Astyanax mexicanus: one gene and its partners. The protein of the gene in region 3 purifies or fractionates together with the protein of the main gene of each other region. This does not show direct contact. Links are inferred from orthologs where the notes say so. Each region holds a gene or a part of one and is shown on either strand. Other genes may lie near its edges. The genes, in order: map3k7, malt1 and card11.

Evidence for each region.
Region 1: the proteins of card11 (region 3) and map3k7 purify together in Homo sapiens (affinity purification with western blotting; 3 studies listed by BioGRID). This does not show direct contact. The link is inferred for Astyanax mexicanus from reciprocal best matches to the Homo sapiens genes CARD11 and MAP3K7.
Region 2: the proteins of card11 (region 3) and malt1 purify together in Homo sapiens (affinity purification with western blotting; 6 studies listed by BioGRID and IntAct, with this or other methods). This does not show direct contact. The link is inferred for Astyanax mexicanus from reciprocal best matches to the Homo sapiens genes CARD11 and MALT1.

What each region holds. Positions count from the first base shown.
Region 1 is NC_064408.1:47,758,564-47,766,217, reverse strand, and holds the start of map3k7 (mitogen-activated protein kinase kinase kinase 7), read left to right. Parts: upstream 1-4,625; 5' UTR 4,626-5,458; coding exon 5,459-5,545; intron 5,546-6,861; coding exon 6,862-6,972; intron 6,973-7,640; coding exon 7,641-7,654. UniProt on the Homo sapiens protein: Serine/threonine kinase which acts as an essential component of the MAP kinase signal transduction pathway. Plays an important role in the cascades of cellular responses evoked by changes in the environment.
Region 2 is NC_064429.1:23,829,913-23,837,068, reverse strand, and holds the start of malt1 (mucosa-associated lymphoid tissue lymphoma translocation protein 1), read right to left. Parts: upstream 3,056-7,156; 5' UTR 2,865-3,055; intron 1,266-2,864; 5' UTR 1,186-1,265; coding exon 1,034-1,185; intron 596-1,033; coding exon 432-595; intron 1-431. UniProt on the Homo sapiens protein: Protease that enhances BCL10-induced activation: acts via formation of CBM complexes that channel adaptive and innate immune signaling downstream of CARD domain-containing proteins (CARD9, CARD11 and CARD14) to activate NF-kappa-B and MAP kinase p38 pathways which stimulate expression of genes encoding pro-inflammatory cytokines and chemokines.
Region 3 is NC_064410.1:55,729,672-55,737,597, reverse strand, and holds the start of card11 (caspase recruitment domain-containing protein 11), read right to left. Parts: upstream 3,104-7,926; 5' UTR 2,947-3,103; intron 1-2,946. UniProt on the Homo sapiens protein: Adapter protein that plays a key role in adaptive immune response by transducing the activation of NF-kappa-B downstream of T-cell receptor (TCR) and B-cell receptor (BCR) engagement.

The DNA of each region.
Region 1 (7,654 bases), on a different chromosome or scaffold from region 3:
AATTATCTTAATTTTATTTCAGTGTTCTGTATCCTGACAAGATCACATTGTATATTTTACAGAATTTTAAGATTGGTTTATAACTTTTAGTCCTGTAAAATTACAGTAAAATATATTTAAAAATACTTTTTCTGGCAACTAAAATAACTTTGCTTTAAAATGTAAATTCCATTTTAACAGTGCAGTGATTGTATTTGTATTTACAGTAGTTGTGAGTTTTTCTTTTTATTTATTGTTATTATTATTATTATTAGGTTGTTTTTTTTTTGCTGTATTCTTTATGCAGTTTTGGCAGGGAAGTATTAGCAGGATGTTATAAGGTGATGAGTCTGCATTATATTATCTTTATAAATTATATCTAAACTGGTCATTTTGAATAGTGCATGAGGTGCTTATGTTTATATTATACTTATTGTAAATTCTAGTTCCTTTTACCACCACTATTAATAAACAAATTAAATAATGTGCGTCTCTCCTCAATTAATCAATTCACACCAAACTCACTTCAAATAACACTGTTGAATTATGGAGAAACTTGTTGAATTCCACAGTCAGGGCCTGCACAATGCACGGGGAGGACAGACACCCTTGTCTGAATATGAACAACTGCTGTTTGAGTTTTTTCCAGCAGTGGTGATTAATAGGGATCATATTCAGCTGTCACCAAATGATGGTTGAAATCCTGAGTTTATTTTTAGAACGCTGAAGTCATGTGTTCAGGTTACTCAGCAAATGCAATTTTGTTGATCATTTTCCCATCACCTCTGGTCACAGTGCACAAGGTCACACTGCTTCAAACCAAACACAGTACATAAACAAACACAGCAAACAGACCAAAGGGTAAACGGGTAGTCCAGTGTAGTCCAGTGTGTGAGGTTGGACACTAAGCTCTAATATTATACAGAGCTGTCAAATTTATTAACACACAAAAACTTCAAAAAGGCTGCATGCAGTCAACCAAAGCCTAGTTAGCTCTGCACACAAAATAAGCTGTAAAAGTATTCTGAAAGTTTACTGCAACATGGAATTAATTTTTTTGTTTTATTTTGTTTTTTTCTACCTTTGAGATGAGTTGCCGCACCAGAACTAATCATCCAGTGAGTGTCTGATTTCACTAATGCTCTCGCTTTCAGGATGAATGCAATCAAAATCTTGCAGCAATGTTCCAACATCTAGTACAAAACCTTCCCGAAAGAGCAGACACAAGTCCTGCAACAAAGAGGGGACAGACTCATTTTTAATACTAAGGCAGTGTATTGGCATAAACTTATTGATACAGGGGTTACAATCCATTATATTAAAATATATGACAATACTGTAAGTAATGTAATATATTGTGAATGCTAAAATCAATACTTATCACTTTACTGTATTTGGATGAGTCATTACAGATGCCTCATAGATGCTCAAATAATATTTAACGCAATGGGCCCTATTTTAGCGATCTATAGTGCAACGGTCAATTGTGGATCTGCACAACTGGATTTAGGGCGTGTTGGCAGTTCTTTGGTATCGTGTGGGCGAAAACAGCACCCCTTTGCTCAGCTCAAAACGCGCAGGTATTAATTTTCTTAATTAATCATGAGTGTGTTTTGGGCTTAACGTGAAATAAATCAATCAGTGTGTTAGTTGCCATTCATTCCCTTTAAGAGGCAGGTGTGCTTTGACTTTGGCACATTCGTATCTTAACAGGGCAGCACTTTGTGATTCTCAGCAGATGAGATTGACCTGCGCATTCACACTATGAAGGAACGGCAGCAGCTTATTTAAGAAAACAGAAATGTTTTTTTCATTCTTTATTTTGTTTATTATTAAAAAATGGATTTGCGCTCTGTGTGTGTGTGTGTGTGTGTGTATGTGTGTGTGCTGAATTAGCTGGGGTGTACGGCTGCTGGGCACATGCAGCATCATTTCAGTCAGTGGAGATCCTGTGTTTTCCACCGCCAAAATAGCAACACACCTCACTTCCAGACCACCACACCCATCAGTGTAGATTTATTCCTAAACTCCCACACTATTAACGGTGCGGGTGCAAGGCGTGAAAATAGACTGTTGATAGGGTGTAAAATAGCAATGAGCATCGAGACGCACTTTGCACAGGGTGTCCGACCCTACGTCTATTAAATGCAACTGAATGCTCTTTACTCTTTAACCTGAACTGTACTCTTAACATTTTATAGTTAGCTTTAGAGTAGATTTAATGTTTAGGTTAAGGTTTGAGTACAACACTCCTCTCTAGTGGGTGGGGTTTAAACACAACACTAAATGAACCATTGTCTGCCACCAATCTTTACATATAAACCAATAATTAAAAATGAATACTGTGTTTTTGATTTTTGATTTTGCAAAACAAAATATTGAAATACTTAATTATATTAATATTTCCTTTCATTCCTATTTAATTAACTTTTTTGGAAGAATCTGTCTATCTAGGGCATATTATGTCTGTCCAAAATTACTAATTGTATTACAATCTTGGATACACAGAGAACAATATTAATATCATATTGGATCACTCATTCGTGGGACATGAGCTTGTGAAAAGGCCTGTTTTTTATGTTGCGGACAAATCTTTGGACACAACGTTTCTTGTTAAATGTAACATTAAACAGACATTAAAGCTCTACAGGAACACATGCAGAGTCCCTGGAGGTGATAAAGAACAGTTGCTGAATAGTTGCTGCTTTTCCTTTATGCTGTAAAGCGCCAGCTCATCCCAAATCACCTCAAATCACCATCTCAGTTGGGTTTAGGTCAGGGGATTGTGAAGGCCAAACACTTTCTGTTTACTACATAATTTCATATATGCTACTTAACTGTTTTTGTGTGTTTAATATTAATCTACAGTGTAGAAAATAAATTTAACAAAAAAAGAAATGAGAAAAACATTGAATGAGAAGTTTTTATTTGAATATCATGCAGCCCTGATATACAAACATAATGGAGCTAGTTTGCCATCCTATCCTGTTTTAGAACCTACAGCTGCATTCAGGATAGCTCTCTATTACAGAAATAGTGCACTATATAGTGTCTGCCATTTTCTAAAGCTGTTCATAAATCTCAACAGTCTCATTTTATTCCCTAGATAGTTTACTATCAAACACTCATAATGTATCACAAACTGTAGTGTACAGATCATGCAAGCTAGAATTTCCAGCGTATACCTTAATGCCTTGGTGGTAATGTGTTGGTGTTGTGTCAGACGTCCTTAGAGCGGCAAGAATTAAGGGTGTTTTCACACCTGCCTTGTTCGTTCTGAACTTTCAGATTTTTGCTATGGTCTGAACCAAAGTAGCAGGTGTGAAAGTGGCCATGAATCATGGTGCATGAAACGAAGAACCAGAGGTAGGTCCAACCAAAAGTGCTCTCTGTCCGGATCTACTGAACCATGGTCTGGGTCTTCCATGGTCTGCAGTGAGAAAACACTTTTGTAAATGGTTCCAACTTTCAGACTAATTTGACTGTTTGTCATAAAACAGAAATAAAGGAATTTGAGGATAATCTTTTACACTCATTTTTCTGTGGGGTGCAACTGTACAAGGAGCAAACCAGACCAAATATATTCAATTTTAAAAAGATATGAAACTTGGTCAAGACTTTTAGGTGTGAAAACAAAAAAAAGAAATTTGTTGTTTGGTCGTTCCCTCGTCAGTTGGGTCATGATAAAATTAGCTGTTAGGTGTCAGATCATCGTGTTTGGGTAATATTTTGCTGATTGGATAATAAACTTAGCTGTTAGGTGTCAGATCTTTATGTTTGGATTAAACGTTGCTGATGATATCATAAACTTTGTTGTTAGTTGTTGGATCTTTATGTTTGGGTTAAATGTTGCTGATCAGATCATAAATATCCACAACCTCCTAGCTGTAAATTGGAGGAAGTTACCAGTCTGGTGTAGGTGTGTGAGCAGGACAGCAGAGTATAGGAAATGGGAATAGGCTCTATGTGTGACTCAAGATGTTAGGTGTAGCATTTATGTATTATGTTACCTAGATCAACATCACTTCATATCATTATTCACATCAACACTAGATGCTTTTATGTCAGTTCATATGGTTGTATATGTAGAGATCAGCTCCAGACCTAAAGAATTACAGCTCTGGAAAAAATTAAGAGACCAGTTTCTCTGATTTTGCTATTTATAGGTATATGTTTGAGTAAAATTAACATTGTTGTTTTATTCTATAAACTACAGACAACATTTCTCCCAAATTTATAATACAAATATTGTCATTTAAAGCATTCATTTGCAGAAAATGAGAAATGTCTTAATAACATAAAGATGCAGAGCTTAGACCTTATATAAAGTTCAGAAATCAATATTTGGTGGAATAACCCTGGTTTTTAATCACAGTTTTCATGCATCTTGGCATGTTCTCCTCCACCAGTCTTACACACTGCTTTTGGATAACTTTATGCCACTCCTGGTGCAACAATTCAAGCAATTCAAAACAAAATTCTTCCTCTTGATTATATTCCAGAGGTTTTCCATTTGGTGAATTAAAGGAACTCTTCACATTTAAGTGGTCTCTTATTTTTTTCCAGAGCTGTAGTTCTGAGAGCTGGGTGTTGGAGCAGGTTGAGGCTCCATACCGCGGGCTGACTGGAGAGGGCAGGATTCAGAGGAGCTCAACTTCCTGGAAGTACAGCAGTCAGTCAGTCTGTACTGCGCCGGAGGAAAAGAAAAATACACATAAAATAATAATAACAACACACGCGCTCCATGGAGGAGACACGCTAAAAGTTCTCCACCGCTTCTGTAATGGGCCGAAGGCCTTGGTCGCGTGAAACGGACACTTAAGGTGGTCTAAATCGCCCTGAAATGTTAAGAGGTTTGGAGGCGGTGGTGAGGAGCCTGGGCGCCGGTGTGGAGTGAGCGCTGCGCGGCCGAGAGCTGCTCCTCCCTCCCCTGTGCGGCCCGGCGGAGCGCGGCTTAGCTTAGCTTAGCTTAGCCTAGCCTAGCTGAACTAGCTTAGCAAGCGCTAGTTCAGCTGCGGATCGCAGTCTTGAGTTTTGTTGTTGCCAGTTTGAGCTCGTTTTTTGTGTTGTGTTGTTTTCTGAGCTAACCTTCAGACTCCGCTGAATTTAGGAGGAGAAGTTTAGCTAGATAACGCTATGTACTGCCGACCCTGTCCTTCAGACTCGGGTTTGTTTAAAAGCCGCCTGTCCCGCTTCTCTCGGGCCAGTGTTGCATTCAGATAGACGGGTTAGCGCTAGCTTAGCTTAGCTATCGTTTTGGGGCTGCTGGTCTGGGAGCTAGAAGTTTTTAAAGTGGTGAAATTCCTGTGAAGCTCGCGGTGTAATGCGGGGCTCGTTAGGAGAACCAGTCCCTCTGCTTGTGGTTGAATAGCAGAGGTCCTTCACTGTAACCGCTGAATGTGTTTAGGCTCCAGAATCGCCATTCTTTGTTCGGTTTTGTGTTTTTAATGGTCGCTGTTAGCCGGTTAGCTGGCTAGCAATGTCTGTCCCCTCCGCCGAGATGCTTGAGACACCACCTGGATATCCGTTTGAGGAGATAGATTATGCTGATATCGAAGTGGAAGAGGTAACTAAACCTGTCCCTGTATCTCTCTTTAGCTTTATTAAAGATAATTAGTGAGTGGGGTTTCATATTCATGTGCAGAATTCAGTAAAACACGCCGGTTTGTCACAGTTGTTCAGCTGTTTCTAGCACACACCTCAGCAGTACACCTGGCTAAGGTTAGGCTAGGTTAGCTTACGTTATCTAGCTACTCTACCTAAAAACCGGTTTTATTTTAATTAGATATTTTTCACAGAAAAATCTTAAGCAAGACTTTTCACTAGATAAACTTTCAGTGCAGTTTTTACTTTAACGTTACAGTACACATGCTGATTTATACCTTATTTAAACATAGCACGCAAATTTGCTAAGGGCATTTGTGTTTGGTAGATTATTTCTTTAACAGTGATTCTTGTCAATTAATTTCCCTTTTAAATGATTTCACATGTGTACCTAATGAACATGCTTTTAATGGATGAGCAGATTAAACCTGAGTTTTTGGTTTGTGCCCATGAAAACTTTGCCAAATCTTCTTAGCTTATGCTGTTGCTATGGAAATTTGTTTTGAGCTTCTAGTACCCCCACATGATTGGCACCTGATTGGCAGCACCTGTGAGTAGGCATGCAATGATTAGTCAATATAATCGAGAAGTTGAATCAGAATAGTCGTTGTCGACTAATCATCAATTTGTCCACTACACAAAGTACTGGGGACAGAAGCACAACGGGAGAGGGGTCAAAATCAACTCAACCTGCATCTCCAAAAGTGCACAAACACAACAGTTAACCTATTTCCACATGTAAAGGACAATGTTCTGGACATTTGAAGGGCATTAAAATGCCACATCCAGTTGTTTACCCACAGCAAAGAATTGGCATGCCATGTTTGAATGAGCTGGATAGTCTACATAGGGCAGCTTCAAGCTGTTGTTCCTAGTTGTTCCAAAACCTAGTTGTGGAACCCTTGTAAAAGTATCTTCAAATTGAAGGCCAGGTTACATATAACGGTGAATGTTAGAGGCTGTGAAGGGGGCATCACATGAAGGTAAATTTGCTCTTAAGCAGAGAGCATTTCAAGAAAACATTATGGGCACAAGCCACATACTAAGCTCTGCTGCGCATCTCACAATTACAAATGTTGCTTTATTTACAGTAAGAATTAACTGGGTTTTCTTTGTATAAGATCTATTGCCAATAAACATTGTTACAACAAAGAAATAATATACCAAACACACAGGTTTTCAGCGTCTATGTACAGATGTTAAACCTCACATTGCTAGCTAAGATTGCCCAGTAAACCTACATGGATCCTTCATACGAAGCAAATGTCTCATTTTCAGGTGGTGGGCAGAGGAGCGTTTGGTGTCGTCTGCAAGGCCAAATGGAAGGGCAAAGATGTGGCTATCAAGACCATAGAGAGTGAATCTGAAAGAACTGCCTTTATAGTGGAGGTACAGTGAAATCAAGTTTTACTTAATTCATCACACAAACAGTCCTACACCCAGGGGCGATTCCAGGATCAAATCAACCCAGTCCTTTCATTTTTACTTTCTCTTTAAACAGTTTTTTAGAAGATAAGAAGATAAAATTGTGTTCATTCTCTCACTCGAATTTAAACAATGGCTGATTGGTAGGCTGCAGCTTAACCTAATAAATTAAAAGTGCCAGACAGTGACAGCATAAAGAGTGATGCTTGATGGTGAGTGTGAGCAGGCTTAGCACACAGGAGGACAGAGAAAAAGTGAACTATACTTTTTGTGTAGTGAGTAGAGACTGCTGCATTTTTATTCTTAAAATACAGTTTTAACAATTTTGAACCTTTTACTTTCATTTTAGAACTAGTTTGAACTAGTTACACCCATGCTCTTTGTAGGTTAGGCTTAATCATTAGAGATTGATGATCAGTTAGTCCAACTTGTGTAGAAGGCTAGACATCTGCCAAGCACTGTGCCCAGTTGTCCACCTACACAGCAGGTTGATGGTTTTCTCAATTTGACTTAAGAAGGGCTTGATTCTTAGCCAATAGTGTGACTCAGCTGCAGCACAACTCTACTCTGTGCAGGTAGACAACAGGAACTGACTCTGATTCACAGTGTAACTCTTTCTTTTTCATCTCCAGCTTCGTCAGTTGTC
Region 2 (7,156 bases), on a different chromosome or scaffold from region 3:
ACCCAATAAAAAAAATCTAGCCGTGTTCAGAAAGTTAGCTGCTGGATAACTAGTTAACTTTAGGGCCTTATTGTATGTCTTCAAAAAAGGGGATAGGGGGATTTTTTTTGCAATATTTTAAATGTAGCTCCAACTCCCCCCCCCCCCCACTTACCTCCTCCAGCCTATCAAGATTGAGGACACCCTATATCTAGGCGTACACATGCAAAACAGAGGAGTAGGGCTAAGTGGAAGAGACAAGGATTGAAATAGGATTGGGCCCAATTGTCTAAAACCGCAACATCAGGTGGATTTCCATCAATATAATGTAATTTAGTGTCATTTTGCAAGTTTGTGGATTAAAGACTTATTTAATAGTTTTAGTCAGTTACAGGACTGTCACAACCATCACACAACAGTGTTAAAGTGTGTGAGTGCAGCGGCAGATGTACCTGATTTAAGGCATTGAATGGCTTCACTGTGACCCATCATCTTCAGGAACTCCACCAGGTGTCCCAGTGTACAGCCTCGATCTCCCATGAGCCTCAGCAGACTGCGGGAGGGGCTGCCTTCCACCTCCAACACCTTCAGAGAGCACATCTCCATGTCATCTAAACTGAAGGGGGAGGGGAGCAGAGGGGTGTGAGAGAGAGCGAGAGAGAGAGAGAGAGAGAGAAAGAGAGAGAGATAAAAGGAGTGAGGGGGTGGGGGGTCAGAGAGACAGAGAGAGAAAGAGAGAAAAAAAAGGTAAGAATGTAACAAAGAGAGAGAGAGAGAGAGAGAGAGAGAGAGAGAGAGACAGTAAGAAAACATGTCAGTGGGAGGTGGAGACAGACATACACTTCCTCCTTCACTGCCAAAAAATTTAAATATATACAGTGAAAAAAAAAAATAACAGTGAGTGAATACAGTGTTTAAAAAACCTCCAGCAGTGCAGTAGAAGAAAGAGAAGTCAGTTCACACTCTTTTCTTTTTAAAAATTTACCAACAGCACTAACACTGATTTACCACCACAAACACTGTAAAACCTCTGTGGTTAGTCTTGAGATCTTACCTCACTCTAAACCGCCGGTCACTGCTGACCGTTTCCCCCAGCTTCCTCCATCCTTTATTATTAGCTCTGTCCAGACACTCGCAGAGCCTCCGTAGCACAGGCTCCTTCAGAGAGTTAATGTTCAGTGAGCCGTCGTGAGAATCTTGAGACATTGCTGAGACTCTGGTTAAAAAGGGTCAGGCTGGAAGAAGTGAATGGGTTCTTCGGGTTTCTTGGTTGTGCTGACAATCTGCTGACCAGCAGCAACATTCAAAGACAGCAGGAAGAGATTTATAGAGAGAAATAAAGAGAAAGAAGTAAATCAGTGGCTGCTGTTTCATGTGTTGTGTTTTATATGCTGTAGATTCATGCTGTATATGAATTAATTAACAGGTTTTAGATAGTTTAGTTACCGGTAGTCACCATGAAAGTATTTCACAGATGAAATTTCATCAGGGCCATGAACGGGCCAATTTAATCTAATTCGGCTGAGTTCTGGTAGTTTTGTGTGCCAAATCGTATAGTACATGATAATATCGTCAACTTTTTTGAATATCATGAACGATATTATATCCTGAAATAACGTGCCATATTACCCCCCACTAATTATAACATCAGGGTACTACTTTTTTGCTGTTTTTAGCAAAAGGAAAAATCACACTGTTCTCATTTTTCTACTATATATTTACTAGAGACAGAATATATCTGTCCAGTATCATTAATTTTACTTTAGTTTTGGATATATAGAGATATATGGATTGTAGTATTAGTATCATGACATTGTGACTCATTGACTTCTGTTACAATCTGATAAAATTCTTGTATTTTTTTAATATTACAGATAGGGGTGTACCATATCATACCATATGCAATATTAAAATTTCATTTTCATTTTGTTCCAGTAGTGTATTTATGTTTTATTTGAATGTTTTGTCATATCGCCAGAATATCGTTATCGCAAAAATACCATGAAATATCATGATACTATTTTAGGGCCATATCGCCCAGCTCTAGAGGCTAGGAAGTCCCTTTGAATATAGCAAACATTAATTTAGATTTTGACCTTTGATAATAAGATGATAATTTGAATCAGGTGTTTTAGAGCAAGGAAGCAAACCCAAAACATGAAAGATAAGAGGAGGTTTACAACAAGAATGTAAGAATCTAGTATTAATCTAGATATTAGGAGCCAAATATATTTCTTTACATATTCTTGCTCATATACACATTTTTATTTATCACCCACTTGTATGCCTCATTGTATTGGACGTGTAACATTATATTAAAGATAATTAAGTAAGTAAATAATCAAAAATAAGATATAAAAAGGTGCATTAATCAAAAAATTTGGTTTGTTGCACGAGGGCAACACTATGCCAGAAGGATTAAAATTTTGGACTAATCTAATATTTCACACCAGATTGTGGGTTCTACTGACAAGCACAGTTAAACAAACTTCCTAAACAATCTTTTATGGGTTCAAACACAGTAGAAACCACTACTTTGAGAAAACCTTCAAGAAAGCTTAAGGTGCTTCAATGAACATTTTTCTTCCAGAAATGTTAAGGTTTCCCCTAAAGCACCCTAAGCGATTTCTCCTCCGTCTCAAACTGAAGACCCCCTAAAAATGTCTCAGGGAAATTAACCCTAGCTACATTTTAACAACACAGGCGTGCTGCAGTGTGCTAACCTGCCTGAGAAGAGCATCAGAGCAAGCTAGCTGTAACTTATATTTTTAGGTTAGAAAAGAGAGAGACAGATTGGCATTTAACTTTAGTCCACATCTCAATATTTAAGCAAACCTGACAAAGAAAGTAACATATATAGAGATAAGTAATAGAGAGAGATGTACCTCAGAGCTGCTCAGAGAAGAGGAAAAAGGTGGAGGAAGAAAAAAAAGAGATGATACATCGCTGTAGTTTCCTTGCTCGGTGGGGAAATCCACTTCACCTCTATAAACATGTCTACGTTTCTTGCTGAGGTCTACTTCCTGATGTGTGTGACTGTGACGAAGGTGTGTGTGTGTGTGCGTGCGTGCGTGTGGAGAGAGAGAGAGAGAGAGAGAGAGAGAGAGAGGGGGGGGAAGAGACAGGGGGAGCGAGAGAGAAAGACAGAGAAAGAGAGAGAGAGGGAGCAAAAGACAGAGCAAGATAGAGGGCACAATGAATGAGAGTGAGTAGGAAGAGAGAGAAAGAAAGAAAAAGAAAGAGGGAGCAAGTGAGAGAAAGAGGAGGAGAGAAAGAGAGACAGAGAATTGCAATAGAGAGAAAGACGGGGAGCGAGAGAGAGAAAGAGAGACAGCGAGAGAGAGGGAGCAAAAGAAAGGAGAGAGAAGGGAGAGAAAAAAAGAGAGAGAGAAAAGCCAGAGAAAAAGAGAGATGCAGAGAGAAATGGGTAGTTCTGCATATTTTATTTCATATACCAGTATCATATCATCGTATCACATTTAGCAGCAGTAACGTATTGTTTAATGCTTTTGAGCATAGGCGTAGGAACCGGGGGGGATGGGTGGGACATGTCCCACCCAATATTAAAAACAGGTGGATTTGTCCCCCCCAAAAATGATATCAGTTCGCTCAGGTCAGCTGTACTATTAATGAGGAGACAGACCGGACCAATCACGGAGCCGGTTCAGGTATTAAGTCACGCCTCTCAGTAGAAACAGCCAATCAGCTTGCTGGTTTTGCGGCGCGCGGAGCAGAGGCAGTTTGCTGTTGGGGAAGCCCCGCCCCCTCGCTGTGAGATTTAGCAGCGGGATCGGGACGCAGCAGCTTCAGCTGATTTTAAAACAGATATGGATATACGGAGATTTTTCTAAAAGAAAGGTAACGATAGGCTAACCACTTCAACTGTGATGTTATGTTTCTGATAGCTGGTTAAAAATACACGTCTCTGAATCAGCACAAAGTTTAAACCCACTGTGATTAATAAACTGCAGCTGTGTTAGTGTGTAAGCTTATCTTTGGAATTAGCTAGATTGGGAGTCAGGGTTAAAGGAAAAAAATAAAATATATATGTAATGTTTCCCTGTACCTGATCAGCTAATCACTTTCATTTTCAAACTGTTTATTCATTTAGGATTACAGGACTTACTGTGAGCTATAATGAACGAAAATTGATTTAACTAACTAGTTATCTAGAAGCTGGATGTAGATGATCGCCAGAATTTTGGTAGTTTGGTAGTTTAAAGCAGTTACTTAACCCCGATCACTGCCCTAAACTAGTGTTTTCCACCTGATCAGCTAATAAACAGTCATTTACTGAGTTTACCTGTTAAAATCCTTTAGCCCCCTATGGAGTCTAAATTAATCATGTATATCCACCAGAGGAAGCTCTAGAATATGCAGAACAGTTTTAATATGCAGTAGAATATATAAGAACAGGGTTGAGAAACACTGCTGTAACGTGACTTCTGCTCATTTGTATTTCACAGTAAGACCACATATCCTGACGTTTATAAAAGTCTCTATGAAACGTAAAGTTACATTCTTTTACATAAAAGGACACCATCTTAAGAAGAGCTCTCAGTAGAAAAAAAATAAAAGTGCAGGAGAAAATGTAAATATACAACAGAATTGACATTGCCAATACATAATAATAATAATAATAATAACAATAATAATAATAATAATAACAATAATAATAATCTGTTATATTATTTTAAATATTAGGTGATAACTCAGACATTTCTTGCATAATTTTTGTAACAACAGTAGCTGTAATGTGGAGTAACATGTTTAGGTTGTAAAATCACCATTTACTAATAATAATTTACTTTTAATTAAAAGTAATTTCCACAAATGTTGTTCTAGGAAACTATTGGGTGGGCTTGGGTTCATATTGGCAAATGTGTCCCCCCCAATATCAAGCCCGCTCCTACGCCCTTGCTTTTGAGGGTAATGTCAGTGTGGTAGTTTAATTCCAGGATAATTTGCCTGGTATATTTGTAGCATAACTTGTGCGGTTGATTTAACATCGAAGTATTTATTTACAGTATATACATTTGTAGTCATTTTATTTGCGAGATATGATACTGCAAAAGTTAAAATAAAATCAATAAATAAAACACTAATTAAGGACTGATTAACGAAAAAAACCGGTCCGGTGAGTAAAACCAGTGTACTTAAACCTCCTAACACCGTGAGAGACATTAAACCTTTAAATCTCAATACCGAGAAAATGAGAATAGCTGGATCAGGTTCTTTTCAAGTGTGGCGTCAGAAATGTCACCCCTCCAACAAACAGCCTCCAAACGAACACAGATCTGTCTGTAACTGATCTCTCAGCACACCGCCTTCATCTCCTGCTGTTCTGATTCCCACCCAAATTCAGACAGACCCCGCCCACTGCGCTGCGATTGGCTAGCTAACACTATGACCTGCAGAGTGATTAGCATTCTGGATTACTCACTCAGTGGCGCATTAAATTCAGCTGATTCGCATCATTACTTTTAAAGTCATCACACAAACACCCCCAAAATAAGAACACAGACCAACTGACAAGTTAAGAAAAAATATATTTTTTATTTAGGTAAAAAGTGGCACATTTAGAATAAACATAAGGCTGGTATGTAGTAGCTACAGAGGTTGATGCAGTGTAGAGATGAGTTTCTGCTTTAGACAACTTAACTTAAGAATAGTAGCCTGCAACATCTGCAGTGCCGACAGCACTAAATGATTTGCCTACAAATAAAAGTATAAAACATGTTGCAGGGCGAAAAGCCAACATGATCAAACAATCACCAAAGTATACATCTCATAATACTGAGCAAAATCATTGGTTTGTAATATATAATACAGTAAAAAAAAAAACAATAGATAATTAAAGAATCTTTAAAGAATCAAATGATAACTGTTCACATTAGAATAATCAGGTTCCAAAAGAAAATGAAAAATCGCATTTCAGAAAAGCTGATATTGTGAAAATTTGATATTCACGCCGTTTGTAAGGAAAGATGAAAGGAAAACCCTTTTAAATTAAAAATTGAGAGAAGAATTGTGTTTTTAAAGAAACAAAAACAAAAAATTGCCATTTTAGAAAGAAAAAAGTAAAAAGAGAGCTATGTGAAAGAAAAAAAATGAATTGAATAGACCTTCAAAAGAAAAAAAGACTGAGGAATTACTTTTTGAAAAAAAAAAGTTTTAGAAATAAATTTAAAGATAGGGATCGCCTTTTAAGAAAAAGAAACAAAAAGAAAGGTTTCGACTTCAAAAGAAAAAAAAAAATAAGAATGAATTCAGCTTTTAAAGAAAAATAAAAAGAATCACCCTTGGAAAGAAAAAGGGAAGAGATGGATCAAAGAATCAAAGAGAGAAGAACTGGCTTTCCAAAAAAGAATAATCATTTTTGGAAATAGAAGAGAGGAAGGACAAAAGACAAAAAGAGAAGAAAGGAATCACTTTTTAAAACAAAAGAAAGACAGAGAAGAATTGCCATACCAGGAACGGAACTGTCTTTTAGAAAATTCCGAGGAATCACCCATCAGAGGAGAATGACCTTTGACCTGGGAGTCGATTCACAAACCGATTCATTAACCGATTCATTAACCGATTCATTAACCGATTCATTAACCGACTCCCAGGTCAAAGGTCATTTTCAGTGGATAGCGATGCTTGGTAGTGTTGTTAAGTGAGTCGTTTGCCCTATTAAACTCTAGTTACATACAAAATTATACATGATCATGTAATTATCGTAAACATTTTCCCTGCTTTGCATAAATTATATACATATTCTTAAAACACAATAAACTAGTTTTTTTCACATTAAATAAGGTGGGTTTGCCTCACTCCAAGTCACAACTTCACTATTAGTAAACTATCCATCAGCCAATCAACACCCATTGAGTGGTACTTTAATAAAATATCTCTCCTGATTTATCCTAGAGAAAAAGAACAACAAACATCACCAGCAGCAGCAGATGCTTTGATGTTCATTGATAAAACACTTCGCTAGCTAGCTAGCTAGCTGAGATGACTAGTTAATCTCGGCTAGCTAGGTTTATTCACACACTTTATTCAGACTTCAGTTCTGTTACCAGGCATGGTGTTCCATATTGTTAATATTTTTTTTACATATTTACCGAGACTTTTATACATTACACTTGAAGACAGAGCGTTCATTAAATAGAATAAATGACTTACAGTG
Region 3 (7,926 bases):
ACGAATATATCTATGCTGATAGGTGTGGTGTTCAGGTAAAATTTCAGGTGCATCGCTATCTTGGCAAAACACAGGTGCGCCACTAACTGATTTAAACCCGACAACAGTCAATCTTCAAACATTCATTGCTATTTTGGCAATGCAGGCATTGAATACTCAATGTGCATACACTCCTGCTACTTACACACACACACACACACACACACACACAAGGACATGCTGCAATATGGAAATCCAACTTTTACATTAAAAATAAACACAGCGTGAACGAGCAGATCAATTTCCTCTGCTGAAAAGCGCAGAAGCACTGCGCCATTAGAATAGCAATGCGCCAGAGGAAAATCAAAGCACATCTGGTTTTTAAAGGGAATGCAAAGTGACAATTTGATTCTGATCTGATTTATTTCACATTACGCCCAAAACCACAACCATTATTAATTAGGAGAATTAGTACACACCTTTTGCATTTTTCAAGATGTGCAAGGTGTACTTTTCCCATCGTTACGATAGCAAAGACACACTGAAATGCCCAAAATCAAGCTGCATGTTGTGCGGTTGACGTCTTGCCTATAGGTCACTAAAATAGAGCCACGTGTGAGCAAACTGAACTTTTTGTTTGGTCATTTTTTGGTTTGGAAAAACATTAAAATAGACCCATCTGTGCTGTGTGTTGTACCATATACAGCAGTAATATTTTGAGACGATAGGAAAGTATGAATAAATGGATTTCGCCCCACCTCTAACTGTAATAAATACATGCAGCTCAGACATGAAACACAAAACTATCAGACTTATGACTAATGTAAAGGCCTAAAAACTTACTGGTGATATAAGGCATTATCAGAATATGAGCAAATATGACATAGAAACATGATTCATGGTGTGTCAACATGCACAATTAATACTGGTTTCAAACACCGCAGACATGTTTCCTGTGAAGAATGCATTTAGATGACTCTTGCAGAGCTCTCCCGTCATCTCCATTGTTTGATGCTTCAATTGTTCAAACAGTTTCTTATAAATATTGACCAGAAACATGATGGGAACAATCTCTGGATAAATGTAGTTTTGTAGTCTAAATAGTCTGTGATTTGTGAGGCTAAATGACTTTGAGAGAGCAGATTTTGAGCAAATATGACAATGAAAATAATGTGATATGATGTGATATGATACAGATTACAATTCAATATAATGTGATACTGTGAATGATGTGATGTTTTGTGATATTTTAGGAAAACATAGTAGTATATGGATTAAACAAATTATCAAATTTTGATCCAATCAGATCAATGGGATCTGAAAACAGCACTAAAACAAAGAGTTTAATCAGAGTTTAAAATACATAATAAAGTAAACCTCTGTCTTCCACCAATCTTTACCATGTAAAATATATATTTATAAAATGTGTTGCAAAGTTGCAGTGTTGCAAAACATATTATCACAATATGCTACCCGTGATAAAGATGAAATCATGATACTTTGAATCTGTGATACTCAATATATTGCAAGACAATTCTCTATAACTATGAAACTTCACAGCATCTGTGTCATTGAAGAGAATAAAATATTCATAAATAAGAAAATACCAGGAATTCTGGATTTATAGGTGGCACATATGATAAAATAGAAAATATAGTGCATACTTTAGCTTACTCTTGTCTCTTTAAACCATATTCACTTCAACTCTTCCAATTGTAGCACTATTCCAATATTGTAAAAAAAAAAAAAAAAAAAAAAAAAAAAAACATGAACTGCCATAAATTAGAAAATATGAAAATAATATGAAAAAGTTCTGCAGGTAGAACACAACCTCAACACAACTACTTCACAAAAATCTTTTCAAATTGTGCAGCATAATCTTTCTGAAAAAAAAAAACAATAATTATTAAAAGAAGAATACACTAAATAAACAATTGTGTCCACAATAGTAATAAACAATAGAGCCCTAAAAATACCGTACCAGTCAAAAGTTGGGACAAACCTTCTCATTCAGTGTGGCTATAAAGGAACACATAAGAAATCATGTAGTAACTTAAAAGTGTTAAACAAACATTTAGATGGCTTATATCTTGGGACTTAGCTTGTTAACTTGTGGTTTCTGATGCTGGTAACTAGGGGTGGGCGATATGGCTCTAAAATAATATCAAGATATTTCAGGGTATTTTTGCGATAACGATATACTTGGCGATATAGGAAAACTAAAATAATTCATTAATTTCAGGAATATAGTATAATAGTATAACAGTATAATCATAATGTGGCAAAATAAATAATATAGCATAAAATAATATAATGCAGCAAAAAATATTGCAGAATATTCAGTGCATGCATATAAACTGCAACTAAAACAATTATACAATAAATACACCTAAAGCTTCACAGTAAATAATAGACTACTTGTAAGACAGAACAGCCCTATTATCACGATATGGATTTTTAATATCATGGTATATCTGTGTCACGATATATTGTATACAATATAATATTGCCCACCCCTACTGGTTACTCTGATTAACTACTACAACATTTGGTGTTTGGTTTACACCACAGAAGATTGTGTAAATTTAAGTCTTTTAGGGGAACTGAAAAAGCACCTATCTTCAAGTCAATCTCAACTCAACTCAAATTCAAACACTCAAAACTCAAAACTGCTCCAACAAGTACTTCAACTCAAAACCCAGCCTCACACACACAAACTTCCAGATCTTCTTAAAGAGCCTAATAACTCGACTAGGACTTCAATTAACTCAATACTTCTCAACTTAACTCAAGTCATCTCAGTTGCACTCAGCTGTGCTCCAGCAGGTGCAGTTTTTAAGGTTCTCAGGGTTTGAGTTGCGTCGCTGCGCAGCGATGCGCGAGCGCTTCGTCCTCCGTCAACTTCTACCAAACTTGTCCACACAGCTCTCTGCTCTAAACCAGTTCTAAAACCAGCCCAGAACTCACCTGTAGAAGATCCGCTCCCACAACTCAGCACCCAGCACACATTCCGGCCCACGAACCCAGAGGAAGGAGAGGTAAAATCTCAGCCTGGAGCTCAGCTCAGTTCCTCCACTTACACAAACCTTACACCTGACCCACACACACTCAGAGACAGCCGGCCCGCCCACACACAGGGGGCGGGGCTACAGGAGAGTCTACTCAAATACATTAACCCTGTAGAGAGAGATGCTCTATAAACATTACAGTTTCTGGATCAGTTTCTCTGATTTTGCTATTTATAGGTATATGTTTGAGTAAAATGAACATTGTTGTTTTATTCTATAAACTACAGACAACATTTCTCCCAAATTCCAAATAAAAATATCGTCATTTAGAGCATTTATTTATTATAAAATGAGAAATGGCTGAAATAACAAAAAATAAAACGCAGAGCTTTTAGATTTTAAATAATGCAAAGAAAACAAGTTTATATTTATAAAGTTAAAAAGTAAAGTTAATAACAGTTTTTTATGCATCTTGGCATGTTCTCCTCCACCAGTCTTACACACTGCTTTTGGTTAATTTTATGCCACTCACTCCTGGTGCAAAAAAATAAGCAGTTCAGCTTGGTTTGATGGCTTGTGATCATTCGTCTTCCTCTTGATTATATTCCAGAGGTTTGGTAAATTTGGTAAAATCATTGAAAACCCAAAAATCAGTGTCTCAGAAAATTAGAATATTGGTACTTTTGGTACTTTTGGCAGTGTGGGCAGTGTGCCAAGTCCTGCTGGAAAATGAAATCCTCGTTTCTATAAAAATTCTCAGCAGAGGGAGGCATGGAGTGCTGTAAGATTCAAGTTTAGATCACGGGGATTAATGTGGAGGACATTTTTTTACGGTTTACTACATAATTCTATATGTGTCTCTTAATTGTTTTCCTGGATTTAATATGAATCTACAATTTAGAAAATAAATGAATTTAGGAACAATTAATTAAGGTGTGTCCAAATGTTTGACTTGTACTTTAAATTTAAAAGTATTATTATTAATAGTAGGAATATTCACTGTAAATATTTCTTGATAATGTTACAGTAAGTTACATACACACATAACATAAAAGAAGTGTATAATTACAGCATATTACTGTATAATAATAGTAATAATAGTAATTTCCTGTTACCAAATGACACCTTTTTTGGGGTATTTTGTAGCATAAATTAATAAATTATAATGCTGTTATTATTTTTTTCAATAAATAAATTATAGTTAACCTTATACTGCAAAGAATTTAATTGTAAATGAACAGTAAAAAAGCTGTTAACAGAAACACTGCAAAGGTAGTGCCTTTCATTTCTCAGCCACCATAAAATCACACTCTACAGTGCAGAAAATGACAACTGGCACTTATTATTATTATTATTATTATATATATATATTTTTTTTTCGAAAAATCTGAAGTTTTATTGTCACATATTCAAATACCATCAATTCATGCAATACTTTTTCTTTCTTTTTCTTTTCTTTTTTCCAACAACCCTTATTTTTTCATACAAAGAGCATTTAAATACAAAGAGAAAGCATAAACATTTAAAAACAGTTTTGTTTGTATATATAAAAGTCCATGCTTTGGTTTAAAAAGTCCACATGTTTACAATTAACTGGATAAATAAATATATAAAATACAATAAAAAAAAGAATCAATAAAAACACAAGTTGTGTGAATCAAATGGTTTTACAGAAAAAAAAAAGATTTTGTTTTGGCACAGGTATTGGTTACAGTGTTTACTATAAAGATAAAACTGTGCAAAAGTACCATTTTAACATTATACTACACTGTATTGAGATCTGAGCACTATGTTTATATTCTTATTTTAGTTTATATCGTACTGTCATACATTTTTTTTATTGTATCAACAACATGTTTTATTAGGCATATCGAGGATGTCATCTGTTCTTAAAGAACACTGAGCCAGCTGTGCATTTTATTACAGAGAGTGTAAAAAAAACATGTTATGATGCAATAAAACACTGTACTTTGCATGAGAGAGTATTTGAATAGCAGAATAAGATAAAATAAGATAAGCCTTTATTATTTAATCCCACAGCAGGGAAATCTGCAATGTTACAGCAGAGCACAGAAGACACAACTATATATATATATATATATATATATATATATATAGTTATAAAGTATAAAGTAAGTGTTTATTAGTTCAGTAAAACACTAACTTAGCATTACAATAAATACAAACAGCAATTTTACAAAAAGCAGAGCTTTTACAGCCCTGTTTTTCTTAAAACATCTTCTAATCTCTTCTCCTCACCTGAGTTTAATCGAGTTATTTCTAGTTCTCATCATGTTAATCAACACCTGGTTTGGTAAATTGGTAAATGTGGTAAATCAGGTGAGCTGCTGACGGAACGGAACATAATATACACATGCTGGCTGAGGAGCATCCAGGTGAAATCTGGAATCTCTACACTTTATTCTTCAGCTGGACTCACAGGATATAACATATTTAGTTTTACTGTATTTATGTTTATTTGCAACTGTTTAAATTAAATGTGGTGCTTTGTTCAGGTAAAATCACTCATATTGCTGAGATAAATGGATTAGTGTTATTTAATTTGGTGCCTAAAATCTTTGCACAGTACTCTCTCTCTCTCTCATCCCTTTTAGTTCTTGATCCCTTCAAGATTTGTGTTCAGATCTGCAGAAGAGTACTGTCATTTCCCTCTCACGTCTCATTAAGGGTGAAAAAATGAAAAATCAGTATAAAATATGTAGTATAAAATATAGTTTAAAGCATCAGAAAATGAAAAAAAAATGCAACACCATCACTATTGCTATTTATTTACTCTCAACCTTTGTGCAATATCACTGGTCATGCATACTGAGGAACCATGTTTTAATCTAATCCTATTAATTTGTTATAAAAAAAATTACTTTGTGTGAAAGCAATGTACTAATTACCTTAATTAATCGTGGGTGTGGTTAATTTTGGGCGTAACGTGAAATAAACCAATCAGCGTGCCAGTAGTCATTCCCTTTAAGAGGCAGGTGCGCTCTGACTTTGGCGGGTGCTAGTCTTAACCCTCCTGGTGTTGGGTCATCACCAGTGATAAGAGGAGTCCTAATGAGTGGGTTGGGTAATTGACCTTGTAAATTGGTGAGCAAAAAATGATTTTACTGAAAGCAACAAAAGACTTTGGATTGGTAACACTTTACTTGGATGCTCCATTTGATGGCTTTTTTTATGCTTAACTGACATTCAACTAACCTTCAACTACATGTCTATTAAATGCAAATTAAAGATTCTCTATTGAATATAACCCTACATTCAACTCTAACCCAAACACTTATCTTAATATTTTAGGATTGGGTGTAGGGTTAGATTTTAAGCTTAGGTTAAGGTTAAGGTTAGTGTTAGGTGTAGGGTTAGATTTTAGGGTTGATTAAGGGTTAAGGTTAGTGTTAGGTGTAGGGTTAGATTTTAGGGTTGATTAAGGGTTAAGGTTAGGGTTAGGTGTAGAGTTAGATTTTATGGTTGATTAAGGGTTAAGGTTAGGGTTAGGTGTAGGGTTTGATTTTATGGTTGATTAAGGGTTAAGGTTAGGGGTTAGGTGTAGGGTTAGATTTTATGGTTGATTAAGGGTTAAGGTTAGGGTTAGGTGTAGGGTTAGATTTTAGGGTTGATTAAGGGTTAAGGTTAGGGTTAGGTGTAGGGTTAGATTTTATGGTTGATTAAGGGTTAAGGTTAGGGTTAGGTGTAGGGTTAGATTTTATGGTTGATTAAGGGTTAAGGTTAGGGTTAGGTGTAGGGTTAGATTTTATGGTTTATTAAGGGTTAAGGTTAGGGTTAGGTGTAGGGTTAGATTTTATGGTTTATTAAGGGTTAAGGTTAGTGTTAGGTGTAGGGTTAGATTTTAGGGTTGATTAAGGGTTAAGGTTAGGGTTAGGTGTAGGGTTAGATTTTATGGTTGATTAAGGGTTAAGGTTAGGGTTAGGTGTAGGGTTAGATTTTATGGTTTATTAAGGGTTAAGGTTAGGGTTAGGTGTAGGGTTTGATTTTATGGTTGATTAAGGATTAAGGTTAGGGTTAGGTGTAGGGTTAGATTTTATGGTTTATTAAGGGTTAAGGTTAGGGTTAGGTGTAGGGTTTGATTTTATGGTTGATTAAGGGTTAAGGTTAGGGTTAGGTGTAGGGTTAGATTTTATGGTTTATTAAGGGTTAAGGTTAGGGTTAGGTGTAGGGTTAGATTTTATGGTTTATTAAGGGTTAAGGTTAGTGTTAGGTGTAGGGTTAGATTTTAGGGTTGATTAAGGGTTAAGGTTAGTGTTAGGTGTAGGGTTAGATTTTAGGGTTGATTAAGGGTTAAGGTTAGGGTTAGGTGCAGGGTTAGATTTTAGGGTTGATTAAGGGTTAAGGTTAGGGTTAGGTGTAGGGTTTGATTTTATGGTTGATTAAGGGTTAAGGTTAGGGGTTAGGTGTAGGGTTAGATTTTATGGTTGATTAAGGGTTAAGGTTAGGGTTAGGTGTAGGGTTTGATTTTATGGTTGATTAAGGGTTAAGGTTAGGGGTTAGGTGTAGGGTTAGATTTTATGGTTGATTAAGGGTTAAGGTTAGGGTTAGGTGTAGGGTTAGATTTTAGGGTTGATTAAGGGTTAAGGTTAGGGTTAGGTGTAGGGTTAGATTTTATGGTTGATTAAGGGTTAAGGTTAGGGTTAGGTGTAGGGTTAGATTTTATGGTTGATTAAGGGTTAAGGTTAGGGTTAGGTGTAGGGTTAGATTTTATGGTTGATTAAGGGTTAAGGTTAGGGTTAGGTGTAGGGTTAGATTTTATGGTTTATTAAGGGTTAAGGTTAGTGTTAGGTGTAGGGTTAGATTTTAGGGTTGATTAAGGGTTAAGGTTAGGGTTAGGTGTAGGGTTAGATTTTATGGTTGATTAAGGGTTAAGGTTAGGGTTAGGGTTAGGTGTAGGGTTAGATTTTATGGTTTATTA